Linked DNA regions of Rhinolophus ferrumequinum. The protein of the gene in region 1 interacts with the protein of each later gene in a biochemical or structural test. Links are inferred from orthologs where the notes say so. Each region holds a gene or a part of one and is shown on either strand. Other genes may lie near its edges. The genes, in order: DLG1, TANC1 and ARHGEF16.

Region 1 (3,744 bases):
CACATATTACAGTTACCTAGAAAAGATTAAATGATTTGTATAATGTTATTTGATTAATGACAATGTCAGGAATAGAATTCAGGACTTGTAACTATTTGTCCAGTTCTCCTTTAAAACAATGCACCATCTCAAATTTAAGTTACAATTAAGAATAAAATGGTTTCAATTTTCTTGTCTATAAAATAAGATTGGACAAAATCATCTCTAAGATTTTCCAGATCTAAAATTCTGACTCCCAGTTTAAACAGAAGTCTATGTTAATGCAACGAATGTTCTTACACATAGCAAAACTCTTCAAACATTTTCAGGCACTCCAGAGAAATTCAAGTCACAGAAACAAGCTAACAGTTATTCAGTTGTTACCTTTTGGGTTTGGAAACAATTTTGTAACTACTCCCTTTTTTAGTTGTTAATGCTAGGATGTGAAATATTGTTTTCTAAGACTAAAATAATCATACTGAAAGCTTTTTCAGTTCTCAGATATTTTTGAAAAGGATATTGGCCTATCAAAATATACAATTCACTGGATGTTAAAGTTACTGAATGCCTCACAGAGAACTAAGTACATCACTCTCTTAAGTCTTAAATAAACAAATTCAGAGGAGCATTAAACCTAGCTGACACATAATGGTCACAAATAAAATTTTAATTCCCACCTATTAAAGCCTGAAAGAGGTTGCTCTGAAATATGTTTATAACTCGTTCTATGGAACTTCTGAGCTGTCTGTCTTCAGTCTGGCTTAGTTTTGAACGATATTCCTCCAAAAGGTGCAATGCTCTCTGGGTATCTGAGAAGAAAAATAGAGTCTGATTAAAATTATATATTTACAAGAAAGTATTACACACTAGCTATGTAGCAAATGATTCTCTAAGACAGCTAAACAGTTCCCAAAATCCATCTCGTCAATAGATGCTACTATGTTCATGTATACACATATTCCCTAGAATGATCCAAAAAAAATTTAAACATGTCACAGTAGAAAAAGGAGGAAGGTGAGTAGTTTGTAATAAATGTGTCTGGTAGGTAGACAATAAAAGATAATTTGATAAAAGTATTAGTAACATAGTTTCAGCTGATCTGATATGCAAAAGCAGATTATCTACAATTGGTCATTATAATCCAAAGCTTAAATGTTTCAAAATACTAGCTCTTAGCCAGTTCCACATTTGCTCACAAAAGTGTTTAGTAAGAATGATAATGAAATATTAAAACACCAATTCAGAGTTTTTAAAGACATTGCAGAGGGGAAAAATTGCCTCTTGATAATCACTAGAGAGATGCCAAGGTAAAAAGTTTGACAAACATACAGGTGTTTCCATCTTCTGAATGACGTGAGGCTTAGATTCCCTAAGTAGTAAGGCTAGCCAGCACTGTGCCATCCCATCAGAGTTCCACAAACATTTTTAAAATACAGCAATGAGAAAAAAAAGGCATACAGAAAAGCAAGTGACATCCACAAGAGATTTCCGAAATAAATTCTCACCTTGCTTCCGGACCGGCATTTTTCTCCAGAATCAGGAAGAGTACACACCTTTAAAAACACAAAACAGAAAGGAAAAAGAACTAAAGAAGAGAATAGAATCCTGGCTAAACTAGGATTTCCCCCTAAATCTCAAATCGAAAAACTCCCAGCCGTATTTGAAAAGCTCACCTGGCAAAGTTTTCCCAAGTGAAAGGAAGGTCCTCAGTGTCAGTCAATTTAGACAAGGTTTTACCTAGGGGTGGGCACCTCTCTGCAAATTAAGAGCAGGCAGAAGTCGGCTTCCAAACTGTCTTCCAAAGCTGCCCCCTCTCCAAAGGGCACTAAATGCCTAGACGTGGGGCCATCCCTCCCCCGGCATAAGTATGCACACTCCCCACCTGCTACTGGCGGGTGTGGGGGGAGGAGTGAAGAGGCGCTCCGACCCTTAGCCCCCTAAGCCAGCAGAGGCTGTAAAGCGCTCCGAGAAGGGACCAGCGGGGCTCATCACCCCGCCCTACCCGGGCCCCTACCTCTCGCTTGCCTTTCTCCTGGCTTGCTTCCTCCGGGCTACTCCAACAGGGGCCGGACAGGGCAGCGGCCGCTCTCCACGACGCCCTGGTGCCCCACATGCACACCTCCGCGGGCCCCCACACCTGCGGCACCGCCACAAAGTTCCTGAGAGCGGCGTGCGCTCGGAGCTGGGGTGCGCTTCGATCCGACTCGGGGCGGTTCCCCCGCCCTGCTCCGCTCCACGTCCCCCCGCCCCGCCCGGGGCAAGGAGCTGAGCTGAGGGGGGTGAGGGAACGGGGGAGGAGCTCCCCTCGGCGGCCGCACCCCCACTGCCTCTTCCTCCTCCTCGGCCGATGTCGCCGCCGCCTCCTTACTCGCCGCAGCCAGCTAGCCCGCTCGCCCTCTTCCCTCCTAGCCGCCCCACCCCCGGAACCTCGCCTCCTTCGGCGCCCCCAACCGCTCTCCCCCCAAACTTTCCGCCAAGATGGCGGCCCCGGAGCTGGATTGCCGCGCCCCCACGTGATCGCTTTCCCGGCGCTCTCAGCCAATGGGAAGTGAGGAGGCGGCTCGCGCCGAGCCCCGGGCTCTCAGCGCTGCTACCTTTGGGTTGGAAAGGGGAGGAGGGCCGGGAGGGGCCTGGGGAACGAGAACGGGGACCAGGAGAGCATCCCAAGTGAACCCCCTCTCTTAAAGGGGCGCCACCGTAGAGGCTCTGAGGACAAAGGAGTGACACATGGACTCTACAGGTGGTCTGGGATGGCCCTGGCTGAGCCCGCCTTTACCTCGCCCTAGCCCACCGGTGTGTCCCTCTGTTCTGAGCGAGTAGCGAGCCAGACCCGGGAAGGTCGGAGTGTCTGAAGACAGACGTGACTTCACCTATACGAGATCCAAGACACACATTCCGAGACACCCTTTAACCTCACTAAACACGTGCTGTTTTCATCTCCGCGTCAGGAGAAAGTGCCTGACACCCCGAGGCTTGGATCCCCAACCAAGAAAAGCGGTCTCGGGGTGGAGTTGACTGTGCCACCCACGTTAGGGGCGGGAGAGAATGGGGCCTAGGAAGGGAGCAAGGGGGGAGTTTGGGCGGGGGGTGGTACCATCTCTGCACTATGTTCTACTTTGTACCGATCTTTTTAAAGTTACTATTCAGTAAAAGGTTTTGGGGGGTTGAATTAAAGAAGGGCACGTAAAATAAGAAGATTGATAAGAGTTTGAGGGTTTTACTAGAGGAGTTTTAAGTCTAAGTGATTAATTCAAAGCATGAATACATTTAATGATGGGAAGAGAAAATTCGTTCCTTCTTTCACTCTCCCATTCATTCATTCCCCCCTTGCCTGCGACACCTGCCTCGTCATAAGCCTCAGGTATTACCCAAGCTCAGGCGGCCCCTTTAAGAACTCACCTGCAGCCACCTCCTCTGAAGCACAGCCGCCTTAACTCGCATTGCTGGTTTAAGTTTCGACTGCACCTCCGAGCGGGACTGCGGGCGGGCCAGGACCCCGTTCAGGGGCTGAGCTACCCAGGTTGTAGAAAGAATCTCGCGGAAAGCTCTCCAAGTCACTGCCCAGGTCCTTGAGCCCCTTCTAGATAACAGGGACCTCCCTGCTCTGAGATCCAGAGAGAAGAATTTGCCCAAGGTCACCCACAGTTAGCGACAAAACTGGAAACACGGAGATTGTGTCTTTCAAAACCGAAAGACTCTTCCCAGTAAACCCGACAGCCTTTCACCGAGGCCATATCCTTGGAATAAAAAGGAAGTCTGGGGAAC
Region 2 (3,744 bases), on another chromosome or scaffold:
AACACCAACTCTCTGTACCAACAAACCAGGTTTCTCTTTTCCTCTCCCATTCCCACCGCCTTCAAACACATTATTAACGTCTGCAGTCTGGTGGTCTGGTATTTCCAGAGCTAGGGACCTCAGCGATCCTAAGCCCTTTCCTCAAAAGATCTTGAACCAGGCACTTCCTCCCTGTGCCAGAGCTGGAGGCCCATCCCACGGGAAGATTCAGCTTCTCTTTACCTTGTAACCCGCCCAGACGGCGCTGCAACTCGGGTCAAGTTCAAGATGAAGGTGCCCTCCTAACCTCTCCGAGTTGACTCCAACAGGGGACAGCGCTACCGAGACGAGTCCCATCACTCCAGGCATGGGGATCTGGGGCTGCCGAGAGTGGCCTGGAGGCAGTTCAGAGGCGAAGACTACGACAGTCTCTCAGCCCCGCGTCTCCGACCCCCTGGCCGCGGCGCCTGATTTCTACCTGGCCACCGCCGCATTTCCTCCCGGAGCCTTGTACAATAAGTCAAGTAAGTTTTGAGAACGCTTGTCCTGAGACATTTCTGCCTGCAAACACAACACACAATGCTTAGGGCTTCCTTCCTAGCCAGCCGTTCCGGAAAGCTGCCGCGCCAAAGCCGGGAGCCCCGCACACCCCCAGCATTGTTCGCCTGCACCCCAAAGTCCTTCAGGAAGACGGTGCGCCCTGACATAAGTACCCTCAAAGTGACCACTCTCCAAAGAACGGGGGGATTTACAATCTTGATACAATTCTCGTCTTTCTCAGCTCTCCCTCAATACCTAATCCTACCTGGCTCACCCCCCACCACCAAAGGAACATAGATATGCTCATTGCAATGTTCTTCCAAGCGAAGCAATAGACTTTCAGCCCAGACTGGGGTATTACGACATCACCCTCCTCTGGCTTAAGTTCACCCAGCAACTTCGCGATCCGTGCTCCCCTACACTCGGAGGTCACCCTGGACCCCGCGGTGCTGGGAGCGCCTCTCCCTCGCCTCCCCCGCCCCAGGTACCAGGCGTAGCCCAAGCCCTTGCCAAGCCCGAGGGCTACAGAGGAGGCGAGAAAGGGGGCGAGGAGGCCGGGGGATTGTGCGTCCTGGGTGCCCTCGAATCCCAGCTCCGCCGGGGCCGGTTCGGTACAGCTAGGAGGGGATGGCGAAGGGAAGGCGCAGACTCTCCAGAGACGCCAGGACCAAGGCCCGGGGTGCCCAACATGTCTGTTCCTATCCCCGGAAAGCTCCTCAGTGTACCCAGTGGGGGGCGGGGGAGGATCCAGAAACTTTCCCACATGCCTTTCCACTCTCCCCATCACCCTCTCCTCCTCCCCGGGACCCTCTCCTCCCCTCTGCTCCGCTGCATCTGGCCGTGCCCCGGGCGCACAGAGGCCTGCTGCGGCGCCAGGGCGGCGGGAGTTACCTGCTGGGAAAGTTTCCAGCTCCTCGGCGCGATTCCCCACCCCCAGGGCTGGGCCTCCGGGTGCGGCCAGCTCGGCGCTCCGCGGCTGCCTCTCCTCCCGCTTCCGAAGCGGCCGCTGCTGCTGCAGCTGCCACAGCAAAGGCTGCGATCCCGCCCGTCCCCCCGCCTCGCACGGCCCACACCAGGGCCTCATTGGCAGCCCGAATCCCCGCCCTTGCGCGTGTTCCCGAAGGCACCTTCCTCTCGCGCGCGGGCCCGGGCAGCGCCTCCCGCACCCCTCCCCGCCCTGGGCTGCCGGGGCTCCCGGGACCCGTTGGATCGCGGCGCTCGAACTTTCCGCGGGGTTCAGGCCCGGCGCCCCCCTGCTCCGTCTCTCCCGGCCAGGTCTCCAGCTTTCCTCAAGGGGGCTAGTCCCTCGAGTCTGAGCTTGAGTCACTCCCGGACTGGATCAAGATGGGTGATAGTCTTTTTTTTCAATCTCTTTAAAATCAGTGAAGTGACCCGGCCTCCCCTCCTTGCTGCTTTTTAAAAACAACCGAGAAGGACATATGGGAGCAATTAACAAAGCTGAAGTTTTGGTGGATTCTTTAAGGTGACTTGTGTGACTTGTCTTGAATTTTCTCTGCCTCACTTAACTACACACACACACACACACACACACACACAAAAAAAAAACACACACTCACTTTCTGTGCAACAATGTGCTAAGATAATGGAAGGTGTAAGGAGCATCTCGCCTGCTTGCTGTGTCTTTCTTTCGCCAGAGCGAATTGGGGACGTTTAGGGACCGGAGATTGCCCTGGCGTCCCCGGGGCCCGGTGTCTACAGCCTCCTCTGACAGCTCCAGGCTGGCCCTGTGCTGTCTGTGCTACATCTACCGAAGGCTAACGACGGGCTTTTATCCGCGGGAGGAGTAGGTATGGAGCCGGGAGAATACAAAGATGCTATTATTGTTTTGGCTGGTAGGAGTGAGTGAAATTCCCAAGTTCCCAAAATGTTTTGTTATTCCCCAGTAGACCGAGATCCGGGATAGGGCCTACTGTTTCAGGAGTCCTGGTTTCGCTGGCTTCTCCTAGGAATCCCAGGCAGCCTGGGATTCCTATTCAGGCTGGGGAGCTCAGCCCACTCCACACCCAAAGCCCTTTAGACCAGACCAGACCGGCCTTGGTCACCGAAGGATCAACCAGGACTGCTGTGCCTTGTGTGGCCTGCGGGACTTGTGCAGGAGTCACCCCAACGGTGTGTCTGTAACTGGGAATACAGAAGTTGCTATAAATGGATTTATTGGCAACCTCTAACCTTGCTGTGGCAAACCCGCCTTTAAAGACAACTGTTTTAAACAAGTTCCCCCATAAAAACTTCAACCTCACGCAGAGCTTCCCAATGTAAAGATATCCGGGGAGGGGAGTGTCCATACCTAAAGTTCTTATGAAAAGGGGCAGGAAGCAAAATGCCACACTAATCGCTCTACATAAATAAAAGATGCTGAAATTTGCTGGATTTTTCACCCATGTTTCAAAGGCCTGATTATTTCTGCACTGATATTTGAGCAGTAAACATATCAGCAGCATTGAAGTTCTCCTGAAACAAAGCAAGACAGAAACATTTAAAGTAAAATATCAATTTATTAAACCAGAAAAACCTTTGACTTATTTCTTCACTCTGAAATGTCTCATTGCTGAAAAATACTGTAATATGTTTTATTTAACTTCTCTTGAAATGCATAAAAGTTAGCAATCTTTCAACAATAGATGAAAAAGCCAGACAGCAACCTTAATGATGAAAGAATGACACAAACAAAAGAAAAAAAGAGAAACTCCATGGTAGTTTTAACTAATCTGAAATATTGAGATATAAAAGAAACAATCCCGGAGAAATAGACTGGTCTGATTCCCTGCCTCAGACTTCTTTATAATTGGTAAAATGTATAATGGCAGAAATCGACAATTTGTATCACATTCTGTCTTTGGCTTTTCTAAGCTATATTCACCAAGTTTTTGATGAAATCGCGTAGTTAAATTGGGTTTTGAAGACAGTGAAATTCATTTTTTCCTCTCTATCCTCAGAGCTCCCTAAGTAGTAAGTAGAAAAACACATAAAGTAAATACGTTAATTACTGGAATCGTCTTTAGATTCTGTTTAGTTGAAAAAATGTCTTCAGAGTTTCAGAAGTCACAGTCACGAAAGAAATAACTTCATCACTGCCTAGTTAGGAGTGCTTAATATTCGAAACAGGCATATAGCTAGCAATCTGAAATTTGTACACAGAGGGCCCTGTCTCCCCTTCTTCCTGTAGTGCTTATATAATCCAAACTACATATGTTATTATGCACA
Region 3 (3,744 bases), on another chromosome or scaffold:
CCTTGAGGGCTGCGGGGCTCTGCGTACTCAGAATGACCGTCTGTGGCTCCGTGTCCTCGGAGGTTGGAGGCGGGGGACCTGGGACATCAGGCTGGGAGGCAGCACTGTCCGTGACCCTCAGGGACCGCCGGACCATCGGGAGCCTGGGTGCTGGGCTCCCCTTGGCATCCAGCTGCAGCTCTGAGTGGAAGCGGCATTCCAGCATCTTTTCTTCCAAGGAGCTGTCTGAGTGCCGCTGGGACATGCTGGGCGGCCACAGGGTCCTGGGCGACAGGGCAAAGGTGAGGGCAGCACGCAGATGGCCACCGGCCCCGCCCTCTCAGCACCCACCCTGCCCAGAGCCTGCGTTCGGGTCCGAGCACTCGAAGGCCAGTCACGCAGCCTGCCGTGGAGCTGGCCCTGGCACAGCCACAGTCACCAGGCCTCCCCGGGGAGGTCGGAGCGCTGCCAGCTTGGGGTGTGCAGGGAGGGTCGGCACAGTCTCAGGCCTGCGGGGACCCAGGCTGCGGCCAGGCGGCTGGTTCTCTGAGCTCTAGCGCCCAGGGTCAGGCAGACTGCACTCAAGGCCGGCCGGCCGTGTGAGGCCACTATGCCACCTCTGGGGGAGTCACACACTCCCATGCTGGGGGTGTACGTGTGGGTAGCTCAGGGGACCTGGGCCCGGGGCCCCACAGACCTGGGCGAGAATCAGTCACAGCCTCTTGGCACCATTTCCCACCAGGTACGCCCCAGCCCGACCCCACCTCATACACTCAGTGCCCCATGTTGGGTCTGGGTTTCCCCTGGGAGGTTCCGAGCTTCCAGGAGCCCCCCCCACCCCACCCCCCCGAGGGGGGTGGGGTGGGGCTGGCACATGGGGCGGGCCTACAGTACAGCACAGTCGGACCACCTGCGGGGCACCCGAAAGCCTGGCCCCTGATCCGCTCAGCTCTCCCAGCACAGGTCAGGTTCTCCACTAAACCCGCGCAGGAAGGCAGCTGGGCTGCGCCTCCCTGTCCCCAGGAGCCCTGGCCACCCCCACACCAGGAGGACCGCCCGCGCATTCCTAGGTTCATTCAGGCAGAGGATGGCAGCGGTCATACCAGGCCTCCCCGGGGCTGGGCCCGGGCAGGTTTGCACTTTCGCGGATCCCCGCCCCTATGTTAACTTGTCTGCCTTTTACCCAGGCCTGGCCGGAAAACGGGGTTCCGACTTCCATCTGTGAGCATGCCAAATAAAGGGCACCCACGTGGGCAGCCTGCAGCCTCGAAACCCCTGTGCGTCCTTTCACCCTAAACGTGAGGCGTTTGCATTGTTAAGGGAACAGGCAGCATGGAAGGGCCGGCTCCACGACTGTGTCTCCGAGTGCCCACACATACAGCCCCCGCCCGCCCCGTCCTTCCTCCTTCCTCTCCCTCCGGGGTCCCCGTACTGGGGCTCAGGCCTGACTCTTCTTCATCCCTTCCTCTGAGCCCAGGCCTGTCCCAGGAGAGGGCAAAGTCTTCTCTGGGGAGCAAGTGCCCGGATGAAACCAGTTGGGCGAACCACTGCCAGATGTGGGGTGCTCAGCAGGGTGGCTGTACCCACAGGCCTGGGCACCCCTAGCCAGGCCCCGGGGTCTGCAGGTGCTCTGGGCTCAGGGCTGCAGCCACCGCAGGCAATACCACGTCTCCCTTGTTCTATTGCTCAATTTATCACAGAACTACCTGGACACGGGTGCCAAAGTCCAACAGCACGAAGAGGTTTGTTGTCAGACAGGTGTGGCCTCCTCCGCGCCCTGTGCCCCCGGGTCTCCACTCCGCGCTCCTGTTTGCCCTCATTTCTAACTACGGTGAAGCCTGCTGTTTTGAGATCTCTCCACCGTGGCCGTCACCACCCTCTTCCTGCCGGGTGATGCCCAAGGGCGTGTGTGTCGGCTCACGGGACGGACCCACCCCCGAGCCTCTCTCTTCATCAATGATTCCCTCCTGTTTACCTGCGGCTTTCCTCCTGGACGTGTTCCAGCGTCCCCGCGTGGTGTGTCTTCATCACGCGCTCCATACCACCAGGACAGCAGCCCCGTGTGCCCTCAGCCACCCTGTCCTCTCTCCCTGGCCTGTCCCCTGCTTTTGGGCTGGAGCTCGCCCAGCGGTCCAGACCCTCCTCCATCCTGCTCCTCTCCCTCCCGGGCTCTGGCATGTCCCTCCTTCAGAGGAAGTGACCAGAAAGTAGGTCTTTGAAATGTCTTCCTTCTCCTTCCCCTGGACTGGTGACGTGGCTGAGTTTAAAGTCCCGTCAGTGGTTATTTTCTTCCAGAGGGAGGACCCTTCTTCCTTTGTCTTCCAGCTTCCACTCTGGTGAGGTATCCGAGGTCCGTCCTCGGATGATGGGGCCCTCCTCGGCCCTGCTGGGGGTGTGGGTCTCCCAGCTTTCGCCCAGGGCTCCGGCGCTCACGGGAACGGACCCACTCCCTGAGCCTGGTACTCATGCATCCTTCCAACGTGTGTCTTCTAAGTCCAGATGTTTCCAGCGGTAACTTCTCTCACCTGTGTGTTCTCTCTGGTTAATCCGTCTGGAAAACCCGACAAGCATGAACACACTGAAGTTGCCTCCTGACTCAGACCTCTTCTCTGTTTTCATCTGTCTTCCCTTGAGGTCATCTTTTAACCTTCCCGCCAAACACGTACTGTCGTTCTCACCATCCGGCTCCCACGGCTCTGTGGGCAACCTGTTATTTTTTATGGGTGCCACATCTTCTGTCAACGCTGAACACAATGACTATTTCCTTTCAAACTAGTGCCCTTCTGTTCCCCGGCCCAACTCCTTCTCCCACACTTTTCCTCCTGTCTCGGCCTCCACCAGCCAGCCCATCGGGACCCGGCTGTCCGCTTGTGTTGAGGAGGTGGGCATGGTGCTGGCACAAGGCCCGTGTGCCCAGGGCACACATGCACACGTGCAGACCCGAGCGCACTGCCTGTCAGGCTCTTTGGGATGCCCCCTGCCTCAATGTCCGCTGCTTGGATCCACAGGTATCTCTTCAGTGTCCTCACTGGACGCTCGCCCTTGTCTGGTGTCCTGGAGCCAGCACAGGGGAGGGGCCGAGAGCACAGACTCCTTTCAGCTGCCTCCGGGGCAAATGACAGCCATGCTGTCCGGGCAACAGTTACCGAGAGGCCAGACACTCTGGACACTGCACTGAGCACTCAGGTCACGGAGGTCGGTCTGCTCCCAGCAAAGGTGGCCCTGGTAAGCTCCTCCAGAGAGGCCCACGGCACTGAGGGCTGGGTGCTGTCTGTCTGTCTCCCCCACGAGTCTGTGGGTCCTCCGGGAGCAGGGACAATTTCCTGTTCACGTCCCCACAAACAGTCAGGCTCACTTCCCAAACTGATGAGTGAACGCCAGGTATCACGGGTACCTGTTCTGCTCTGGTCCCCTCCGCTCTGGGACGGCGCCCTCCCTAAGAGTCACTGGTACTCTGTGCCAAGAACTAGTCCACCTGGGTATTTCGCTTCGAGTCAGCAGAGACCCCCAGGGCTGCATCACGGAGGCTTCCAGACGGTCCGAGCCACCTTTTGGTGCTTCTGCTTAGGGTGGGCCAGGAGGGGCCCCCAACAATTGAGCCCTTGGAAGCCATGCCATTCGATTTTCCCTTTGCCACTCACCAGCCTGCCCTGGTGTCCCTGGCACACATTCGGGGGCAGGTATGGGGCCCTAGGGGCCTGGAAGTGAGGAGTGTGGGTTGGGAGTGAGCAAGGGCGTTAGGGGAGGTCTCTGGACAGCCTACCC

Evidence for each region.
Region 2: the proteins of DLG1 (region 1) and TANC1 interact in a test that uses a peptide from one of them, tested with the Homo sapiens proteins (2 studies listed by IntAct, with this or other methods). The link is inferred for Rhinolophus ferrumequinum from reciprocal best matches to the Homo sapiens genes DLG1 and TANC1.
Region 3: the proteins of DLG1 (region 1) and ARHGEF16 interact in a test that uses a peptide from one of them, tested with the Homo sapiens proteins (2 studies listed by IntAct, with this or other methods). The link is inferred for Rhinolophus ferrumequinum from reciprocal best matches to the Homo sapiens genes DLG1 and ARHGEF16.

Annotation. Positions count from the first base shown.
Region 1 is NC_046285.1:51,451,672-51,455,415, forward strand, and holds the start of DLG1 (disks large homolog 1), read right to left. Parts: upstream 2,405-3,744; 5' UTR 2,005-2,404; exon of another isoform or gene 1,994-2,004; intron 1,735-1,993; exon of another isoform or gene 1,653-1,734; intron 1,533-1,652; 5' UTR 1,504-1,532; coding exon 1,485-1,503; intron 789-1,484; coding exon 657-788; intron 1-656. UniProt on the Homo sapiens protein: Essential multidomain scaffolding protein required for normal development. Recruits channels, receptors and signaling molecules to discrete plasma membrane domains in polarized cells.
Region 2 is NC_046291.1:63,164,928-63,168,671, forward strand, and holds the start of TANC1 (protein TANC1), read right to left. Parts: upstream 2,786-3,744; 5' UTR 1,411-2,785; intron 1-1,410. UniProt on the Homo sapiens protein: May be a scaffold component in the postsynaptic density.
Region 3 is NC_046292.1:1,913,337-1,917,080, reverse strand, and holds the start of ARHGEF16 (rho guanine nucleotide exchange factor 16), read right to left. Parts: upstream 2,589-3,744; 5' UTR 2,158-2,588; coding exon 1,955-2,157; intron 264-1,954; coding exon 1-263. UniProt on the Homo sapiens protein: Guanyl-nucleotide exchange factor of the RHOG GTPase stimulating the exchange of RHOG-associated GDP for GTP. May play a role in chemotactic cell migration by mediating the activation of RAC1 by EPHA2.